Rhinolophus ferrumequinum: one gene and its partners. The protein of the gene in region 1 interacts with the protein of each later gene in a biochemical or structural test. Links are inferred from orthologs where the notes say so. Each region holds a gene or a part of one and is shown in the gene's direction. Other genes may lie near its edges.

Region 1 (7,326 bases):
AAAAAAAACTCTTCCTGAGTTTGTTGGGCTTTAATTGTTTTCAGATCAAAACAATCTGCAAGTCAGGGCGGCACATTCTGGGGAGCCTTGCAATGGACCCCCACACTAGTCTCCTCTTCCTCAAACCAAAGCCGGAGGCAAGCACATCCTCATTCATACCTCAGTGGTCTGTATCTCCAGCAGCAAGGGGATGAGCTTGGGCTCCCGAAGGGCTGAATGGAGCAGGAAGAAGCAGTGCTTGTGAAACAAGGAATCTGGAATGTGGCCCAGGGATGGCTCAATAGGGCTTTCAAGGGATAAGCATGGGGGTTAAAGGGGTCCCCCACATCAACTCCCAAAACACTGTGACCAGGAACCATTCAATCTAATTCTCACATTTCAGAAGGCGAAGTGAAGCCTCACACAAGGCCACACAATCTAGCTGTTGTCTGAGGAAAGACCCCCAGATAAATAAAGACATATGTTAAGCGGCCAGCACAAACACACTGACAGCACAGGACTCAGGAACACAAAGTGTGACAGCCTCCCTCCTATGCACAGGCCAGGATGGAAGTCACATGTACTCATATACCTGCGTTCAAGCCAGCTGAGGCTGAGATCACAAGGGCACTTTTTTGTCTTGGCAAAGCAGCCTAGGGAGAGAGAAAGGCCTTGGGCCTGCAAGCCTAAGATGGGGGTGAGAGGGGCTGAGGGAGGTGATCAGGATGCCCAAGGTCAGCGTGTCCGACATGTCCGTTTGGCCTCTCCTCCTTTGTTAACCTTGGGACTAGAGCTAACCCCTGGGCCCAGGGACTGACCTTCCAGTGGTTGTAAGTGTTCTTAAAAGGCTAACTTTAGGAAGTACAGATTTCCTTATCAAAATCTTTCAAATAACTCTCCTGCGGCCCCAGGGAGGCCTGGTGCCTTCCCTGTGGGGACTCCTTCCAAGTAACTAATTCATAAAGACACTTCCTCAGCAACTCATGTCCCAGACTTGAGGCCCTGTGGGGTAGGCCCCAGTTTGTGGCCTGGACCTCGGACTGTGGACCGTCTCCTCCCTTTTTCTGTTTGTTTTCAGTGCTCTGACCCAGGCTGGCTGGTGAGGTAGGCAGAGGGAGGAGACTCTGGTGCCAACACACACACACACACACACACACACACACCACGCACGCACACACATACACACGGTTTTGTGTCCCCCAGTCTCAGCGGCTGGTCAATAATTGACTGGCGTTTCACAGGCTGCTGGTTTCAGACCCCAGTCTATTGACCCTCAGAGGTCATCTCCCTAAGCCAGAGCCCCTTCATGCCTCTTCAGTGCCAGTAGTCACCTTTGCTGCCCACAGGCCGGGTACCTGCAGCCCAAAGACCTTCTCGTGCAGATCTCATGTATCTTTCCTCTGCCCCTCCATTGGCTCCACTGTGTGCTGCAGTTATACCCCTTCTCTGTAGCTGTCTCCCTCCCCAGGGTCCTTCCTGGACCCTGCTGGCAAACTCTCAGGCTCATGTCGGTCCCCCAGCCCCCTCCAAACCTCCACCCCCACCCCCCAGCCTTTGTCTGTCAGATATCCTCTTTCGTTGGCTCTCCTGCCAGGCCATGCTGGAGGGGCAGTGGAGGGGAGAAGCGAATCAGCAGCGCCCACCCCTGCCCCCCTTCCTCTCCTCTTGTCAAACACCAGACAAGGCTTTTTCCCCTTCCTTCCCGGCTCTGAATGGGCTCATTCTCTCTGGGAACCCCGGCCCCTCTCGAACCTCCTCCCGGGCAGGCGTGAGTTCTGACCTCCGCTCCTCCCTAATCCCACTCCCGCCTGCAGGCTCCGCCCCCTCAGAGCAGCCCAATGGGACTGACCATGGTCTCCAGTCCGGGTTTCTTTCTGGGATGCAGAGAGGGTGGGCTTGTCTCGGCAGGGGTAGCAGGGGGTTGGTACGGGTAGTTAGTTACCGGGATTTCTTGGAGGACCCTCCTTTGGCTCCCCTGTAGGGGCCCTGGGTAAGGGTGGTTTCATGGTACCCTTGATTCAAGCTCTGGAGGGGAATGGATGAAGCCAAAGCCTCGTGCCTCAGTTTCCATTATCTTGGAACCTCAAACTTCCTCTTCTGCAAAATGGGGACAGATAACAAGCGCCTCCTCTGGCACCTTAGGACTCAGTGAGATAAGGAGTGTGCCTCTAGGACAGAGTGGTACAGAGTAGGGGTCCAGTCCAGGAAAGGATGGTGCCACAGAAGCGTTCCTGGCTGGACCAGCCCTCCTAACTCAAGGGCAGGGTAGAGTGGACCTGGAGGAGAAGGGACTTCTTTAACACGGACCCTAACACCCTGATTGGTCTCTTGAAGGCTCAATGCACACACGCTCAGGGGCAAGCCGTCCCGTGTGTGACCAGCAAGCGACTCTTGGAGCCAGGTTATCATCTCCTCTCCCTGGAGGGCTGAGAGACACCTTGACCAGGTCCTGGGCTATGTGCTGGGGTGAGGGTGAGGAGCTGATTTTGCTGGCTGTTTGACTTTTTCTTCATTAGCCCGGAGAGGGTCCTGGCCAAATTGGTTGATTCGTTTGAGCCTCCATTTCCTTGACCCTACCCTCTCTAACTCTTAACTTGAACCCTAGAGAAAATAGGAATATTGGTGCCCATCCTGAAAGGCAGCTGTGTCCCCATACACAGTAGTATTTCTTGAACGTTTGTGACTATGATCCAAAGAATCAATCCATTGGACCTCATCACCAAGATACACATACCCTTCCTTACCCATACTTACCCTTACTACATGTGATGTGTGCAAATCTTTTCTATTCCATTCCATTTCTTGAAAACAAACAAAAAAACTTGTCTTGATCATCTAAATTGGTTTCATGACCAACTTTCTAATAAAACCTGACTTGCAGTTTGAACATCACTGGTTAGAGCTGGAGGGGATTTACCATGGTGTTAAGGGAAGGTTATGTTTCAGGCCCCTCATTTGCATGTGTCAAATTTTGTGTTCATAACTTTGTATTCCTTTTCCTAAGGAGATCCCCCAAATTTCATAAGCTTCAGGCCCCACAAAACCTGATCTACCACAGTATAACTAAACCTGAGACCATTTATTGAACAATTACTATATGCTAAGTACTGGGCTGAGTGCTTTAGCAGCATTATCTCCTTTAACCCCTAGCTTAGAATGCCAGATGCTATTTTACAAGGAAGCAAATGGGCCCAGAGAGGCTCAGTCACTTGCCCAAGGTCACACACACACAGCTAATTTGTGGTGAAGTGGAGATTTGCACCCAGGTCATTCTGATCCCAGAACACCCTGTTCTCAGCCCCCCTACTGTAAAAGTGCCTGCCTGTAACCAAGCTGGGAATATGGAAGCAGATTAAGAAATGCTACTGTCCCTCATTCTCCAGCACTCAGCAGGTGACTCTGATCCCCTCTGGAACAGCACAAGCTCTTGTCTGAGGCATTCCAACTAGAGTTACCAGATTTAGCGAATAAAAATAAGGATGCCCAGTTAAATATGAATTTCAGATAAACAACAAATAATTTGTTAGTGTAAGTTGTATGTCCCCTGCAATGTTTTGTTGGAATGTCCAACAGAAACATGCCTTTCTTCCATCCCCTGCCCCCACTCCACGCCCCACCCCCCACTGGGCTTTAAGGACAGGGTCAGGGGCTCCAGGTGGAATGCAGGGTGGGGAGGTGGAATTGAGCAAGCTAATAAAAAGCAAGGGACAGAGGCAAAAACCTCGGATAAATTGGTGTTGAATGCCCCAATGGTAAAGAAACAAGAAGGATGTTTTTCCAAGGACTGAGATGGAGGTCCCTCCAATTTGACTCTCTCCCTCCAAACTTGTAAACCCTCTTAAAATCATGCTTTTCAGACTGGAAAAGATACCTGAAAAATTCGAGAAGGTATCCTAGGGAGTCCTGGAAGCCACAGGTTAAATACAATACACACCCCTCCTCGACTATCAATTTTACCTCAGAATGTGGTGGGAAAATCATTATTGGTATTAAAACGGATAGGCATGTGATGGAGTAGGATGCAAACTCGCCAGAAATGTTTAAAATAAAACGGGCGACTTAAAAGAGACTTAAGGATGGCAGCCTAAAGCCCTTGCCCCAGACTCCCGGGGGAGGGGGCGCAATCACGTCCTGTGCTTTTAGGGGCTCTCTATGGAAACGAATGAGAAGTGCGGCAGGCACCCCGGGCGTCCGGCCGCTGGGAGGGACGCGCACCCCAGGCCTGCGCCGAGAGAGGGAGAAAGTGAGGCCGGGAGTTGCCACTCCCAGGGACTTGCAGGAATGCGGTTGGAGGGGGTGGCGGGGGGGGGGGGGCGAGCTGTGAGCGCGCTGGCTCCCAATCACAGGAGGAGGAGGAGGTAGAGGAGGAGAGCTGCCTCGAGGAAGTACAAGAATGAAGTTGTGGGGCTGAGATTCCCTTCCATCGTGCACGGAGAGCTCAGAAGATCCCCCCCAGGCAGCGGCCCGCCCCTTTGCGGGGTGCTCTTTCCGGCGCCGAGCGCCTGGCCTCTCCGCCTGCCTTGCCCGGCGCCCCCTCAGCCTGGTCCAGCCGGAGCCATGGGGCCGGAGCCTCAGTGAGCACCATGGAGCTGGCGGCCTGGTGCCGCTGGGGGCTCCTCCTCGCCCTCCTGCCCCCTGGAGCCGTTGGCACCCAAGGTGGGTCTGAGTTGGGGAGGGCAGGGAGCCGCGACGGGACCTTGCAGCCTGGGACCCCGCTGAAATCCGCGGGCAGGCGAGGTAGGGGGTGCCGTACGAACTTCCAGACCCGAAGTTTCGGACAGTCCAGGCGCTCGGAGCCGCCGGCCCTCTGCGGGGAGGGGGCAAAAAAAGGTGGGGCAGGGGGGTCAATTAAGACGCCTCTCCGTGTCTCTTTATGGAGACAGGCGCTTTCCGGACTCCGCGACAGCTCCGGGAACTTTTCAGAAAAGTTCTCTGAAATTGTTCAGAAAGTTTCTCTCCAAGGGTGTATTGCACTGTGTGTGTGTATGTGTCCCCTTCTTGAGCCCCCTCGAGCTTTCTCAAAGCCTTTCCAGTTGGCAGCCTCCGCCTCCGGACTGGACCGGGCTGGATTCCCCGGGGGTCCCTCCTGCCCTGCCCCTACCCCTACCCCCTCCTCGCCCCCCTTCAGCCGACTGGGTTTAGTTACTCCAGCTTCAGGCAAGATCGGGGTGTGGAGGGGGAGGTGGGGAAAACAACCTGTCCGGCCAGAGCCGGGAGGAGAGGCTGGCCAGTCGGACTGCGAAGTTGCCTCACGCTGGAGTCGGGGGTGTGGGGGGGGAGGGGGAGACGTTTGTTTTGAACAAGTTTCTTTAGGGCCAGCTCCTAAAGAGACTGTGTGCTTTGTGACTTTTGAAGAGCAGGGGCGGCAGAGGGGTGGTGGTGGGTTTCTTGGTCTGGGGCATAAAATGGGAGAGTTCTATGAGAGGGATTCCTGGGCAGTGGGAGGCGAAGAAATAGGACCAGACAGGGGTGTGCAGAGGGGTGGATTGTGCTGCCTTTCCCCTCGTGCTGTGTGTGGAGAAGCTGATGGGGAGACTACCGAGTGTCTGGCCGCATCTGTCCATCCCGATGCAATAACGATTAAAGCTGGAAATACTGCGTGGTATTTTGCATGTGTTCCCTCCTTTAATCCTCAGAACAACCCTATGAGAGAAGTTCTACTGATATTCCCATTTTCCTTCTGAAAACCTGGGCTTAAAGAGGTTAAGTAGCAGCAAGTAAGTAGTGGGGACCCCAGTGAGCCCCCAACCATACATTTGAAACCACTGTTAATCCACCTTGAACAATGGCGTCACTGCTCCCTGCGGCACTGGGTCCTGGGAGTAGTGGGTGGTCTCCATAGATCAGGGAGTCTGGAGAAGGGGTGGGTGTCATCCTGTCTGTGTCACCTGAGGGCCCCCCTGCCAGAGCATTGCTGTGATATCTGAGGGGTGTTCTTGAGGTGTGTGTATGTGTGTGCGTGTGTGAGTGTGTGTGTGCGTGCGTGCGCGCCCGCTTTGTGTTGCCAAACACTCTCTCTGCTGACTTGGGGACTTGACTGAACTCTGCCCTCTCAAGGAACTCCCTGAAGGTGCTGGGCCAGCTCTGCTGTAAACAGTGGGAGGTGGCCCCACGCCTTCTCTCTGAGGAAGAAGTCTCCTCTCCGGGAGGGAGCCCACCCTTCCCTGTTACCCAGGCCGAGTCTTCACCTCTGACCTGCTGAGAAGGCTGAGGGCTGGCTGGGCTGTCAGGCTGAGCTGTTGTCCTCCTCACCTGGGCCTTCGAGTTGAACAGGTGGGGAATGGCTGGGTTGCTGCAGTGCTGGGATCTGAGGAGTCAGTTCCCCCACGGGAGACTGGGGTCTCCTCGTCACTCCTCAACCCACACTGCGGGTGCAGTCAGATGTTGAATGTGTTGCTGGAAATGGTCTAAAATGGCAGCACACCACCAAGCTGCCTCTAGCACCCTTATTACATCCAAGGGCTGAGAGCTGGGTTAAGAATGTGGGGAGAAGGGGAGATGGAGAAGGACCCAGAGAGTCGGGATTTTTCTGAGATCCTCTCTTAGAGGTCAAGGTTTTATAAAGGATAGCAAACACATCCTTTTTATCTTGCAGAGCTCATATTTAATTCCCATATGAGTCTCCCAACAGCCTCTTTCCTTCTTTTTACTATACTTAGGGAAAGTAACTTCATTTTAATACTCACAGACACACAAACAATTGAAAAGATGGGATCCAATGCAAGAAGAGAAAATACATTGCATTCCAAATACAAAGCACCTTTTCTTTTCTCTCAGTTGGGAATTACCCATACTACTGCTGTGTGAACTTCCCTTTCAAAAAATGTACATCGTGTTTCCTACATGCCAGGTTCTTTATCCATACAGTTTCATTTCATCTCTGCAACAATCCTGTGAAGTTTCTGCACAGATGAGAAAACTCAAGTTCAAATAAATGAAGTGACTTATCCAAGGTTTCCCAGTGACCCAATAATGTCCAGGGCAATTTTGGACTCTAACGAGGAGGCATTAAGAGTTGGTCAGTCTTGTTCCATTCAATAGGAATGGGTTGAGCAAAGCCTCAGGGGCAGCCGGGTAGCCCGACTATTCTGTTACGCAGGTGAATGATCTTCCTTATTTAGGCTGTAGAAAGTGTAGCTCAACTGGCCCCCACCCGTGTCATCGCTTGGCTTTGGAGTTCTCTCTCTCTCCCTGTCCAGCCCATGTCTGCTTCTTTCTTGGGCGCTCCCAGAGTGGCAGGGAACTGAGAGCAGGAGTGGGGCAGAGGCCAGTGGCACTTACAGGGTTGTGGGGAGGGAGACAGCTGAGTGGAAGCATGAGGGGCCAGGGTGGGATGGGGAACTGGTG
Region 2 (7,548 bases), on another chromosome or scaffold:
TGTCATTGTAGCATGAAAGCAACCATACGTAATATGTAAATGGAGCATGGCTGTGTTTTAATACAATTTTATTTATGGACATTGAAATTGGATTTAACGTAATTTGCATATGTCACGCAATATTATTCTTCCTTTGAGTCTTTGAACCATTTAAAAATGTAAAAACCATTCTTAACTCACAGGGCTGCACAAAAACAGGCAGAGGGCCATAGTTAACCCATAGTTTGCTGACACCAGTATGGGGTGCCCACCAGATCTCTCCGTTGGAAAGCAGATACCAGATCAGCTGTACAGTACTCCTGTAGCACTGGTGAACATTCTGTTCTTTAAAACGTTTCACCTAGTGGTTTGGCGTCTGCTGTGCACTGAATTGCACCCCTCCGCACCCCGTTCTTATGTTGAAGCCCTAACCCCTCAATGTGACTTTGTTTGGAGATAGGGCCCTTATGGAAGTCATTAAGGTTAAATAAGGTCATAAGAGTGATGCTCCAATCCAATCAGACAGGTGTCCTTACAAGCAGAGACACCAGAGTTGGTTCTCTCTCTGCCATGTGAGGACACATGGAGAAGATGTCTTCTACAAGCCAGGAAGAGAGCTCTCACCAGAAACCAACCCTGCTAGACCTTGATCTGGGACTTCTAGGCTCCAAAACTGTGAGGAATAAATGCTTGTTGTTTGAGCCACCCAGTCTACAGTATTTTGTTATGGCAACCCAAGCTGACAAATACATTGATGATGATTCTTGCCTAATTGATTATCTAATTGGGGCTGCAAAATGGAGTTTTTCTAGTTCTCACATTCCTTCTAGTGTGTTAGCTGGCATTTTTCTACAAAGAAAAGCTTTCCCTCATCAACTAGGAATGAACTGCAGTTCCTCCTAAAAAGGCAGGTAAATGCTTAATTCTCAAAGGGAAGGTTTTTGTTTTTTATTTTTAACTGAAAAATTCTAGAAACTGTTTGTACGCTGGGAGGATAATCTTGTGGAGATGGACAGCCGGACAGACGATGGTGCAGGAGAGGGGGTTATGGAAGGTGTAAAGTCCTCAAAAGATGAGAAGATTTGGAATGTAAGTCAGGAAGGGAGAGAAGAGGTGGGAAGTTGGGGGAGAGAAGAAAAGGTGTGAACTGGTCATCTGGGCAGATACCAGGGTCAGCTTACTAAGAAACACCCTGGAGGGTAGGTGGGCCTGAGTAGTGTCCTTTTGGGGCTGGGAGTTGTGACCCTGTCTGCATGGCAGGTGGTTTTTCTCCTCCACACCCAGAGAAGGTGGATAGTTGGATTCCTGCAGGTCTGGGGCTTTCCATGCAAGTACACTGGAGGGAGAGGGAGGCAAGCAGTGCAGGGTCTTTGCAAAGGAGGACTATAAGGAGAGACAACAGAATCTAGGCTGGTTGAAAACAGAAGTGAGAGCAGGAGAGTGATAGCTAGATGGGAAATGGATAGGAGGTCTCAGCAGGCTTGTTGGGCTATGATTTTGGTTTTGCTATCAGTTTTCAAAATTGAATTAAAGGAACATGTGAACACAGGAGCTGGAAGGATAGTGGGGGATTTTAGCAGGCCCCTCCTGTGGCCTCTTTGCCCTGTGTTCACCAGTCACCTGTGCCACATAGGGAGCAAGTCTATATAGAGGTCAAGGACTGGACCTGATTCCTATCTGAGCCCCCAGCACCCAGCCTGGCACAGGGTAATGGCAGGGAAGATTTGAGGTTTGATTAAATGAATGAATGATAGCAAACACTTATATGGCACTTACGAGGTGCCAAGCACAAGTCTAACCGCTCATTGTTTTCTCCCAAGACTCCTGTGAGTTGGGGTCTATTATTATCCCCATTTTACAGTTGAGGAAACTGAGGCACAAAAAGGTAAAATAATTTGTCAAAGGTCATGGAGCTAGGAAGAGGCAGAGATAGTTACAAACCAAGTAGTCTGGGCCCAGAGTCCATGTTCCTAACCATCAGGTTCTTCTAAATGGATAAATGATTCATAGAATCTCTGTCGTGAGTAATGTCAGGTATCTCTTGAGGTCAAGAAAGATCCACAGACAATAAACAAGGAAGTGAGAAGTATACCATTCTAGATTGTGACAGCTGTCATACAGGGGACCAACTGGGTGCCAAGAGCAAGAATGAGGGGTGATCCTTAGATGGGGTGGTCAGGGCAGACATCTCTGAGGAGGCAGCACTTCAGGTAAAGGGTAGAAAGAAGTCAGTACTATAAAGAGCAAGGAAAGTGTCTTAGGAAGAGGGAACTGCATGTGAGGAGGCCCTGAAGCAAAAATTTAATGTATTCTAGGAACTGAAAAGGATTTCCCTGGCTAAAGAGGAAGAAGAAGGCCCAATGGACTGGAGAGGTGGGCAGGGTCCAGGCACACAAGGCCTGGGAGACCATGGCAAGGCATTTGGATTATTCTTTATTATTCCTGTATTTTACTTTATTTTTATTGTTCCAAGCAAAATGGGAGGTACGCCATTAAGAGTTTTAAGGAATTTGTCCAATTTGTGTTTTAAAAGCAGCAGTTTTGTTTTTCCATTAATTTACTTATTCAGTCGTTGATTCTTGAATTTCTTCATTCATTCTTTAATTTTTACCTTCAATTATTTATTTTTTTCATTGGCCTTTCATTTGTTCACCTGTTAATTCCTTTGCTCCTTGAATAATCCATGCATTTCTATGCCCAGAGAGCCTACGACTCTGTGCCAGATCCTGTGAGGGCACTGGGGGCATTGACAAGAGCCAGACCCAATCCTTGCCCTTGAGGAAAATGCATCTCACACCTCCACACCCTGGGAACTAGTGGTCACCAGGCAGAAGGTGCTGAGTGCTCTACTGGGGATGGGGATGGCAATCAGGGAAGGCGTCCTGAGGAGCCAGATCTTGAAGGATGACAGAGAAAGCCTGATAGATTTGGGGACCCCCCCACACACACACACACACCACCGCGCAGGGACAAGGATCAGTCTCTTTCATCTCTGTGTTCCCTAAGGATGGCAACTTGACAGGCAATGGTAAATGTTTGTTTGTTCATTAAACACATGGACCGGGGGCAGCCAGATGGCTCATTGGTTAGAGCACGAGCTCTGAACAACAGGGTTGCCGGTTCGATTCCCATATGGGCCAGTGAGCTGCGCCCTCCGTAACTAGATTGAAGGACAACTTGGAACTGATGGGCCTCCGTAACTAGATTGAAGGACAACTTGGAACTGATGGGCCCTGGAGAAACACCCTGTTCCCCAATATTGCCCCCTGTCCCCCCAAAAAGTTGTCTTTAAAACAAAAAACACATGGACCAATGGCCAGTCAATGAGTGCTTGATAGTGGAGAAGATGGTGCCCAGCAAGCATAAGGCCATCCTTCCCAAGTTCCTGCACCTTCACCTCCTTCCCTGTGTCTTCCTCCCCATTCCTTCTCTCATTTTCCTAAGGAGAAAGCCTTCTTACCTGCATTCCACCATAGTCTGCCACCCCACAATCACATTGGGATACACCTTGGTGCATGTACAAGTGCACACGCACACACAGGCATTCACAGACATCCCTATTTTCATACATGCAGAATGTGTCCCAGTTGATTGCAAAATTGCAGTCATCGTGTTCACTGACTACAATCGCATGCACGCGTGCGCGCACGCGCACACACACACACACACATCTGTGCTCACACACCCTCCCGGCCTCCCACCGTATCCCAACACACACACACACTTCTCCACCAAACAGCCCTGTTACACTCATTTCTTCTTCCCCTGACAGGAGGGACTTTCCTTGTCCTTAGTTTAAGGCTAAAAAAGTAACAGTGGCCAGAGGGGGGATTGAACCCCAGGTTGAGGGGGTTCAGGGATCCCTGCTAGTTGGAAAGGCTGGAACTGTGATAGAGGAAGACACTCAGTTTTTCTAAAACTTGGGTGTGGGGGGGGAGGCTGACACCCTCCCCCTCCCTTAGTTTGGGCTGATGGCTGATTGCTCTGAAAAGCAGTTTCCTAAGGATAGGGTCTCCTGCAGCTCCCACTGTCCGACATCTCTGTGTCCCCAGCACCCAGCAGCCCCTGAGGATGGCAAAGCATGGTGACTGGTGGCTCTGGTCACAGCAGTGTGAGGTCAACTGGCTGTGAAAATTTGCTAAGGCCTGTCCTCATCTGGTCCTCAGTTTTCCCACCTGCAAAATGGGGGCTTCAATGCTAGAGAAAAAACCCTCTTAACCTCAAATGCAATGATTCTAAAAGAGCTGGTGCTTCTGGGTGGGAGCAGGAACCTGTCCCCTTGGAAGAGGCCCTTAAGAAGTCTGTCCTGGGGGTTCAGGTCTGCGGGGAGGAGTTGGGTGGGAAAGCCGACCCCCGTAACCGAGGCGGAAAGTGGGGGCGGGCGGACCTGCCTGGGATTTGAGGGCCCCTCCCCGCTGCCGGCAGCTTGGGGCAGGGGCGTGACTGCGAGTTCTCCCCGCCGCCACCGCTGTTGCCGCTGCGGCTGCAATAAGAGAAGTCCGAGACGGCTTCCTCCTCCCTGCCCAGAGGGGGCGGCGGTCAGAGGCGGGCAGTACCCCAGTTTTCTCCCTCCACACGTCGGCACTTGTGGCTGCTGGGAGCCCAGCTGGCTCGCCCTGAGGTTCGTCAGAAGCCGCCTCCCCTGGCACCAGGTAGGCGGCCGTCAGGTGGGGCTGGAGGGGCAGCGCGGTGCCCCGCCCCTGGCCTGCCTGCGGCCCTGGAGGGAGGACTAGGTGGGGTAAGCCTGAATTTAGGGAGGGGGACTGAGGGAGTTGAGGGCCAAAGCGGCCCCACCCCGAAAAGAAGCTAAAGAGGAAAACGGGAGACCTGGAGAGTAAGAGTGATAAAATGTGGGGAGGAGGGTGAGGGAATATATGGAAAGCAGACTAAAGGGACCCCAAAAAAAGGTCTGGTGGGGAAGACGGAGGGAACCTCTTCAGTGAGATTGATAGAATTGGGGAAGGGGGCTGAATCGGGGGCGAGGGACTAAAGGGACCCCCAAAAGTGGCTGGGCGAGAAACTGAGGGAACCTTGAAATTGAGGGTTTGGGGAGAAGCTGAGGGGTCTGGAAGAGGGGAAGCAGGTGAGGGCACTGGGAGGATCAGGTGTGGGAGTTTGCTGGAAGGGGTCAAGGAGAGCCATCTGTGGAGGATGCAGAATGTAGGGCGCAATTCCGGGGTTCCATGAAGTCCTCCAATCTGGAATCGGCAAAAGTCGGGGGGGAAGCCTGTAGCCAGCCGGGGGGCGGGGCGGGTGGAGCGGAGGCGGCTACCTATCAGCCCCCTCCCCACCCCGCACTGGTCGGCGGACTGTACATAGAGAGGGGACTCCTTCAAGGCGCTAGAGGCGTGGGTCCCGGCTTCCTGGGGAAGTCCCCGCCTCAACAGGGATAGGCCTCTCTGGGTGCCCCTTCCCCGCCCGCAGTGGCGCTCTCGGTCCACGTTCCCCCTCGGGATCCGGGAATTGCTGGCTGCCCCGACGGAAATCCTGCCTTTGACCGTGATTGCCGGGAGGGGCTGTCACCATGGCAACAAGAGGGCGGAGAGGCAGAGCCTGGCACTTGGCTACTGTAGTGCACATTGCCCTCACAGTCCCCTTTGGTCCCCTCTCCGCCCCCATTTTGTGTCCTCAGTCGGAGGCGGGCTGCGGAACTGAGAAGTAAAGCGATGATGCTTGGTGTTCAGGGATCCTGGGGTGGGCGATCTGCAGATTCAAGAACTTGGGTAGACTTGGCCCTTGATTGCTGTGTGACTTTCGGCAAGTTATGGGGCTTCTCTGGGCCTCATTTTCCTCATTTGAATTATAGGGGGAAATGATCTCTGCCCCTATCCAACCGCTAGATCCCACCTCATCCCCAGTCATGAGAATCAGGTGCAGAAAGCATTTTTTGCCCAGTGTCCTGGAGGGGTTAAGAGTTATTTATCACTGACCCCAGGGAACCTCCCCTTCACCTTCTCAAAAACCAGAAAGCCTGACAGGGCCTCCAAGGACCAGCACACAGTTGACGTCTAATAAATAAATGTTTGTGATCTGTTAAGGGAATGTCAGCAGGTTTGAAATCTGTCCCCAACCCCCACGGTGCCACACCCTGTGATTCTGAGTCCTTTTGCCTCCTTCTGCTTTTGGTGGTGGTAGTGGGAGAGCAGAGCTCTGTTCCCACTTCACAGATGGGAAGATGGAGGTTTGGGAGTCAATGACTGACAGGGCCAACAGTAGGGATCCAGAGTCCTGGGCATTTTGTCCCTGATGTGGTGAAGGAAGTAGCCAGAACTGAGGCCTAAGTTCCCTCCTCATCCCTACCAAATCCAATGTAAACTTCTGGAGAGGGGAATGGGTGAAGGGCAATGGTACAAGAAGATATGGGATTCCTGGGTTTCAGGGCTGGCTCCTGCTCCTCAGTGGGTGTGAAGCTGTGAGTGAGGGTGTGGAAGTGTTTGTGAGGGAATGAGTGAATGAGCATGAGTGTCTGAGAATAGGTGTGGGTATTTCGGTGTTCTCTGCAGCCACCTCGGGCTGATGTGGAAAAGGAAGTGGCCAGACCTTGAGAAGCTGGGTAGCGAGGCCCCAGAGCCAGAGAAGGGAGAGTAAGGGCCCTTCCAGCAGGCCTAAGGGGGGACCCGGGGTGGGGGCTTCCTGCCTGGCCACACTGTGGAATCTAAACTCCTGTTCCTCAGCTCCTCCTGGACCACACATGTCTCCCAGCTCCCAAGAATCTCAAGTTTCTAAAGACTCCTGTTTTAGAGGCTGATGAGTATGTTTTCAGCAACAGATGAGAAACCACTTTTACCTACAAGAAGTGAAGAAAATTCAGCTGACACCCTCAGGACCATATAGAGGGTAAAGCTAGTGTGGCAAAGATAGGTACCCTCCCCGTCCTTGCCCTATCCCCCTCTCCCCTATCCCTCACACCTGGCCCCACCAGGGTAGTAGAGTCAGAATGGGGTAAGCCTTCGTCCCTGGGTGTTCTGGGGTGGGGTGGTAAGGCCTCAAGAAAGCCTGGTGGGAGATGGTTGGAGGGTCAATGAGAGGTGGGAGCCTCAGTGAGGGAGAAGAGGGGTCAGTAAGGGCACCGGAGCTCCATGAGGGGTGGAGTGTCTCAGTGAGGAATGGAAGCCTTCAGTCAGGGCGGGTCAGGTCTTGGTGACGGATAGGAGGTCATGGGGCTGAGACTTGTGCCCTGCCGCTCCAGCCCTGGCCTGTCCCTGGCCCCCCCCAGAGCCCTGAGGAGAAGCCGGAACTCTTGCAGGATCGCGGTTTCCTGTCTGCTGCCCAAAGTCCCAGTTCTCTTTTGGTGAAATCCCCCAGGCAGCTTGGGCCAGCTCAGCCCACCCACCTCACCCAGGGAACTTCTCTTTCTTCTCAGCCTGGCCACTCCTCCTCTTTCAGCCTTGGAGGGGGCCTTCCTCAAGGGAAAGGAGCAGAAGTGAAAGTTCACTGAGCATCTACTATGTACTTGATGTTTTCGGGGCCTTGACCGCATTTGATGCTCAGAAGCAATCTTATGAGGTAGAGATTTATATTCCTCTTTTCTAGGCAAAGAAACTGCAGCTCAGAGAGGTGAAGTAACTT
Region 3 (7,159 bases), on another chromosome or scaffold:
ACCCTGGCCAGAGTTCTCACCAGTGGGCTGTCACGTGTGGCCTAAGTTCAAATGCTATCCTTAGTCCTTAAGTAACTTTTTTATTTCTTGTTCAAAACCTCATTGACAACAGAAAAAGAAGGAAGTCCACCATTTGTAGGTGAAAGGTCCCTTTTTAATCAGGGTTGAGCTGGTGAGGGAGCTGAGCAGCAGAAGGAGGCTGTTCCTCTGGTGACATTCTGTGGCATTTTGGCAGATAGATGTGCCCAGGTGGTGGGCATCACGGAGATTCAGCGATGCTGGTCTAGCAAAAATAACTTGCCTTCTTAAGACAAGATAGGGTTAAATAACTACATTTTGTAAAGGTACACCTACATTTTAAAATTGTTAAAATGGTGAATTTTGTGTGTGTGACTTTTATCTCAACTTAAAATTATTTGTATAAAAGTACACCTAATGCTGTCCTCATTCTGGAACTTTCTCCCTTTTTTGCCAATCAAATTTTACCATTTCAATAGTTGGAGTTGAGTATTCTTTTATTTGCAACCTAAAGCATCCTAACACATGTCATGTGTAACTCACGTATTTTTAATTTGAAAGAGTTAAATATGAGGACCTTGCATTCTAAATATTAAAATGTACAATGTACGGATATATTCTACAGTAAAAAAAAAATGTCTGGCATTAAATTCTGGATAAAAGTAATGAAATATTCATGGAGTTTCAAGGTCCCACTATCTAGAAACAAAAAGATTCCCTCCCTCTCTGCCACCCAAGCAAAAACGGAAGAGAAAACAAAAATGTAAAAGTCACCGGTAGTAACCAAACAAGAAAAGGAGAAGGGCTTAATGAGATGGACTTCAGAAAATGCTCGCTCATATAGAAAACAGAAGTTTGAGAGGAGCAGGGTGAGGTCATGCTCCCACCTCCCAGAAACCATAACTGGTGTGTCTACAAAATCTTGACAATTCTCATTCAAATCTTGATAGAAGAAAGAGGAGTGATAATTTATTCTTAGCTTTCCCCATTTTTGACTCTGAGGTAGTGAAAATGTCTGCAGTGGAGATTAGAGAAAAAAGAGAAATGTCAGCTTTCTGTATGACTGTCAGAAGTCTGAGGGCTCCAGGGACCCACATTAACTGGGGGACGGAGCTGATGCTCAAAGTTGCCCCCAAAAGAGTGGGGTAAGCTCTTCCCTCTCCATCTCCCAATGAAGAGTGAACCCTCCTGCCTTCAACCCATTCTCATGCAGGAGGGAGGACCCAGTTATAGCAACGCAACTCCATAACCAATGCCCAAAGGTTATAGAAAATCAGGCATAAAGGGACTAATAAACCCTAAAAGTGACTCCCAGAACGAAGAAAGAATCAATGATTCTTTGATCCTGATGTAAGGATCAAGGAGCTGTCACCCACAGAGGAGTAAACAGAAGGCCTGGAGAAGCTAGCAAGTGTGGGCAAGTAAAACACCCGACTAGTAACTATGCTCAAAGGATAAAGAATCAGAATGAATAGACAAAGGAAAAAGACTCAGAATGGTTTGGATTTCTCAACAGCAACACTGCAAACAAGAAAACAATGGAATAATGGCTTAAAATTGTGAGGAAAAGTAATTTCTGAACTAGAATTCTATACAATCATGCAGGATGGAAGAGCACATCCAAACCATCAATCACAGTTGACGATAGAACCTTTTTGGATATGGGAGGTCTTTAAACTATCTACAGTAGTACTCGGTTTTCGAACGTCTCCATTGACGAACATTTTGGTTTATGAATGCCGTAAACCTGGAAGTAAATGCTTCTGTTTTCGAACACGCCTCAGAAGTTGAACATGTCACGTGGCTTCCGCTAAGTGCAAGATCCTGAGGCCTCGCAGTAGGCTGTTTTCGAACGTTTCAGAACTCGTGGATTACAGTCGAAAACCGAGGTACCACTGTACTTCCATTTGTCAGGAAACTCCTGGAGATTGTGATCCACCAAAATGACAGAGTAAACTAAGGAAGAGAAAGGAATACAAGAAACAACATGGAATACAAGAAACAACTCCAAAATAAAAGTGAAAGGAAGCACAGAACAGAAACAGAAGAAATGCATCCTTGAGAAACTGTAACTACAAATTGACCAAAATTGTGCCCAAATTTCCAGCCCAAATTCATATCACTTTGGTGATCCAAAAAAAAAAGAAAAAAAGAAAAAAATGTAACCTGAGAACTTTTCTTAAATTATCCAAATACTAGTTAAACCCTAGGTTTCGCACAGAAGCAAAGAAAAATTCTCTCTGAAAGAAAATACCTTCTTCCCAGGCCTCAACTAATTTCCACAAATATTTCAGGGACAACAAGTGGCCAAGTACACAGTCTAACGTGACCAAGTACACAGTAAGGCAGGCACCGTGAACAAGAACCACAGAAACACTCAGACAACACAAGCAGATAGATATGCGAGACTTCAGGTGGTGGAAATAACACAACAAAACTGGGGGAAAAACATTGACTATTTTTAAAGAAATAAAAATAATAATCTGCAGGGAACAGGAGACTTTAAAAAGTGACTGTGTGTAGTGTCCCTGAGATCATCCTGGTGCGCATTTTGCTAGAAGGGCTTCCAGGACTCAGCATACAATCACAGCGAAGACTGATCACAGTGAAAAGATAAAAAGCACTCAGCACATGGGGGGAAAGAAGAAAGGCTGGGAGAAATGTGTTGAGTTTCAGGAAGATTTTTTCTATTCATAGATATTTGTGTGATAATTTTAACATTAAAAAATCATTACAAGCATACTAATTAACTTTTTAAAGATGACTCAAAGGTGGGAAGGACCCAGTACTACAGGGAGGCAGGCAGATGGATCTAGAACATCACCTACCTCACCGCCATTAGCGGCCCCTAAGGAAACATGTAATTTCAGTAAACGCAAGGCAGGACCCCTACTTTTCAGCAATATCGCCGACTCTACTTTTCAGCAACATCGCCGACTCTAAAAACCTCCTGCAGCCTCCAGTCTTTTAGAGAACAACTGCTATTTCACTGGCTCTTTGAAGCAAAAACAAGTCCAGTGGTTAACAAATATAATCATAATAAAAACCCTTCCTTGGGTTAAAAATTAAATGGAAAAATGACTGGAAGAGAATGCCCAAGTGGAAAGTCTGAGGGGCTCCAATCTAATGTAAACACTTCCTATCGCCTTATTCTTCTCCATGTCAATTATAATCTAACACACTATTTTGTATTGGTCATTGTGTTTTGGCTCAGGGTACAGGTTTTCAAAACAGTGTTACCAAAAATGTGAGGGTCTGGAAACTTTCAGGGGAACGGACATTTCAAAGAGGGCTGTCCAACAGAAAAAGAAAAAAATGCGGAGAGAGGATGGGGAAGGGGAACCAGGTAGGTGTTTTAAAACCATTTTAAGGACTACAGAGAAGGGTTAAACTTATTAATAATTTATTTAGCTCCAGACTGCAGACCGCGGTAGGTATTACAGAAGGAAGCAAGTCAAACTCACTGTCAAGAACTTGGTAGCAATTAAAGCCATCAGAAAACTGGCTGTGTTGGGCAAGCTGGGCCCACCCAAAGGTGCGCCTGAAGTCTGGCGTTCATCTCAGGCAGGTCACCTGGCGGGATTCCAGGGCCTCCTGGTCACCGGTCAGCAGGGGTGTCTCGGGTTGATGACTGGGAATGCACCGCACAAGGAAAAAGGTTCTCTTCCTGAGGAATTGCACGGGGAAATGGGGGTGCCCCTAACAGCCTGTCGTCCTTAAAAAAGGCGACAGGGGGAGAGGTTCTCGTTGTTGGCAGTGCCCCGCATGGTATATGACGGCCCCTGTCCCGGGCTTCTGTGCCCGGGAGACGGGTGGAACGGTCACCCGGCCGCTCTCCTCCTCCCCTCCGGCCTCCCAGGTCGACCTCGCCGCCGGGTACCCGCGCGCTCTGGCCGCCGCTGCCCTGCCCTGGGTTCTCGGGGCGCCTTTGGCGCTGGGGGCACAGGCAGCTGTGGGGGCGCACGGGGCGCTGGGGAGGCGGCCGGGAGGAAGTGTGGGGCCTGCCCGGGCGCGTTAAGGAAGTTGCCCAAAATGAGGAAGCGCCGCGCGCTGGGCGGGTGAGGCGACTCCGCGGCCGGCGCCGCTCCTCTCCCATCCTCCCGACGCCCCGGCCCCGCGCCCGGCGCCCCGCACGGCGACCCCACGCCGCCCCGCCCTCGCCTTACCTGCGCAGGTAGGTGTGGCGCGCGCTCCTTCCGCTCGGCCCGCGGGACCGCGGAGCCCCGGCGCTTTGGGGCCGGGAAGGCGGCGAGCAGGGAGCGCGGCCCTGCGCCTCCTTGGCCGCTTTCTGGGTGTCCGGGCTCAGCCGGGCAGGGACGCTCGGGGCCTTCGGCCTTTGAAAAAGGAGGGGAAATTGATGACATCGTTCGAATAGAAGCAGGTAGGTGGTGCCAGCTTTTCTCCTAAACCCAGAGCCTCACGGGGTCCGACTCCTGTACTAGGTGCCAGGCCTGGGCCCGGGGGTCAGTGCGGGGGTCCCCGGACCCCAGGTGCCCTGGCAGCGCCCACAGTGTCCCGACAGGGTCCTGGGAAGCAGGAGCTGGAGTCCGCCGGCACGGGGAACTCCAAAATAAGAAATTTTCGTTCGTCCATTTACATGAATGCCCTGGAAAATTCCACTGTATTTATCGAAGTGACTCAATGTACAAATGTTCGTGTGCCTGCAGAGGTTTTATATACACTACATTTCGTGTACTACAGAAAGAAAGAGCAGTTGCATCGACACATGAAACTTTCTTAACTACTACCAAAATTTTGCATGATTGCTCCTTTTACGACACGTTTTCGTGGTAAAGTAACTTAATTAGCCAATGAATGACTTGGAGCGCAGGGTAGTTTTATGCAGTAAAATGTAAATTTTAAGTGTTGTTTGTTTTTTTGTTTGTTTGTTTTTTTGTCAATATGGTTTAAAATATTAAACCCACCTAAATAACTGTACAAAGACAATTCTTTTTTTCGTTTGTCTGAATGTTGAAGTATTAGAAAGGCTTCGTTGGAGAAATTAGAGTTTAAATCGTTCTAAGTTGGAAACAGTGTTGCAGATTACTTGAATGAGTTTGCCTGACTCCCCAAAGATTTCATTGAACCCAAGTAGAACTGTTACTGGAGGAATTGGTCTTTCTCTTAAACCCTCGGAACATTTCAGCGTGTAGTTGAAAGAGTTGGAGTTGTCCCACATTTGAATCTTCGTACTAAATAATAATAATAATAAATAAATAATAATTGTGATAATGGAGAATTTCCAGAAGAAATGGAATTGACTCTAGTATCTGATTTCTTTGTTTTAGTAAGGACAAATTCATTGCTATTTCACAGGCAGGATTTCAATTAAAGGCAATTAAATTCATTAATGCCCCTCCCTGCCAAAAGTCTGGATGGTGCATAGATATATGTATTTGTATTTGAGCTAAATGATTAAAATACTTGTAAAGTGTTAGGTGTTTTAAGTGAGAAATCTTGTCAGTTAAAATGATTTTATCAAATCATTTTGTTCTATCTACATCATATGTGTGATGTGTTTAGAGTTTTGCAATAAAATAGAAATTGATTTGTATTCTCTATGTCTGTAATGCTTAGATATGTAGGATTATGTAGTCTTAACTAGAATTGTTTTTAATGTTTTAAGCCATGATGAAAATGAGGTGTGTACTTTAGGTCCTTACCTTTCCTGGGGGATGAAATTGGCTGGAAGATCATTTAATTGGTAGGTTTACACTTCAGAAATAGCTCACTTTAGCTTTCCTTCAGCTCATGTTTAATATTCTGAGAGCAGGTCTGATTTCTCTGTTTTTAACCCAGACTTCTTAGTAGGACACCACTTAGGCAGCACACTGCATGTTCGTGATCGTTTAAAACCCTTGTGCTCAGATAGGTTTTGGAATGCAGGATTTTTCACAGTTTAGAATTCAAAGTTAGAATTTTAGCATTGAGAAAGACATTTCTCAGAATTTAGACAGGTATGTATGCACACTGACACCGTATGGTGGGTACCACTCCGATACAGCCTCCTGTAATGGCACACGTTAATGTTTGTGCATTGACACTGTGAACAGCCTCAGTATGTGGAATAAATAAAGACTGTAATTAGCTGTGCGTCAGTTTAGGGCAGGCATTGTCCCTAAATGAGAGTCCCTAAAACTTACCAAAGAAACCTGTTTTTCAGAGCATTTTGGAGTTCGACTAAAGGACTGAGTCTGTGTGAGACTCCATCAAGCTACTGTTTTGCTTTTGAAAACACATTGCTTTTCTATTGCCCAATAACTCACACTTTTCAGTAATTAGATAGGCAATTCCCTTCTTGTCAGGGAGTCTGAAATAGCATAACTTCACTGAATTTTCAGTGATAACCATCAAAATGTAAATCCTGCAAGTAAGAATAGGATGTTTCATCCTTACTGATGTACTTTCAAACAGCAGATTTTCTGACAGTCTAGGATTGTAGAGCAAGAACACAGTGGTTACTCAAGGAAAGGGTACTATCACCATTTCCAACTGCAGTATGTGCTTGGAAGAAATGTCTCCTGTTCACTGTGCAGCTGGCTCTGTCGTCTGTGCCTAAGGAATGGCAGGACACTCCAATCTGACCTCATTTTTGCTGAGAAAGCTTTCACTGTAACAGATTTTTTCCAACTAACTCATCTTCTCTCCCCTGCCCCTCGTTTGCAAGTTTTAACATTTTCTTCCACTTCTGGATTGGTTTAGCTATAAATGAGTGGAGAAAAAATTAGGAATTTAGGCGTTTGGGGAGAATTTTTAAAAATGTCTGCATACTGAACTTTTTTTTTCTTTAAAAGCAATTAAAATCAAAAGGCAGAATCTTAAAGAGAGATTGGAATTAAATTGCCTGATTTAATTATGTCCTATCATCTTACTCTTCTACTTTGATTTGAACAGGTTTGTTCCTTTTCACGTGGAAAAGAGTTTAAAAAAATTTTTTAACTGAGGAATTGTGGGAAAATTTTTAAAAAATAGGCTAAATTTTAAAGGAAAAAAAATCATCCATTTTGACACTATATTACCAGGGAAATTTTCTATTAGCGTATAAGTTTGTCTGACAAAGTTATTTTGCATCATTTTGACTTTTTTTTTTGCCCTTAAGAATTAATTATGTAAGTTTTGCCATGTGACTCTTGAAAGGTGA

What was found. The genes of interacting proteins can lie anywhere in the genome.
Region 2: the proteins of ERBB2 (region 1) and FGR form a complex in vitro, tested with the Homo sapiens proteins (2 studies listed by BioGRID and IntAct, with this or other methods). The link is inferred for Rhinolophus ferrumequinum from reciprocal best matches to the Homo sapiens genes ERBB2 and FGR.
Region 3: the proteins of ERBB2 (region 1) and SYK form a complex in vitro, tested with the Homo sapiens proteins (2 studies listed by BioGRID and IntAct, with this or other methods). The link is inferred for Rhinolophus ferrumequinum from reciprocal best matches to the Homo sapiens genes ERBB2 and SYK.

The regions. Positions count from the first base shown.
Region 1 is NC_046304.1:36,302,059-36,309,384, forward strand, and holds the start of ERBB2 (receptor tyrosine-protein kinase erbB-2), read left to right. Parts: upstream 1-4,305; 5' UTR 4,306-4,562; coding exon 4,563-4,635; intron 4,636-7,326. UniProt on the Homo sapiens protein: Protein tyrosine kinase that is part of several cell surface receptor complexes, but that apparently needs a coreceptor for ligand binding. Essential component of a neuregulin-receptor complex, although neuregulins do not interact with it alone.
Region 2 is NC_046292.1:18,957,963-18,965,510, reverse strand, and holds the start of FGR (tyrosine-protein kinase Fgr), read left to right. Parts: upstream 1-4,455; 5' UTR 4,456-4,631; intron 4,632-6,653; exon of another isoform or gene 6,654-6,730; intron 6,731-7,548. UniProt on the Homo sapiens protein: Non-receptor tyrosine-protein kinase that transmits signals from cell surface receptors devoid of kinase activity and contributes to the regulation of immune responses, including neutrophil, monocyte, macrophage and mast cell functions, cytoskeleton remodeling in response to extracellular stimuli, phagocytosis, cell adhesion and migration.
Region 3 is NC_046295.1:3,382,891-3,390,049, reverse strand, and holds the start of SYK (tyrosine-protein kinase SYK), read left to right. Parts: upstream 1-4,066; 5' UTR 4,067-4,192; exon of another isoform or gene 4,193-4,399; intron 4,400-7,159. UniProt on the Homo sapiens protein: Non-receptor tyrosine kinase which mediates signal transduction downstream of a variety of transmembrane receptors including classical immunoreceptors like the B-cell receptor (BCR).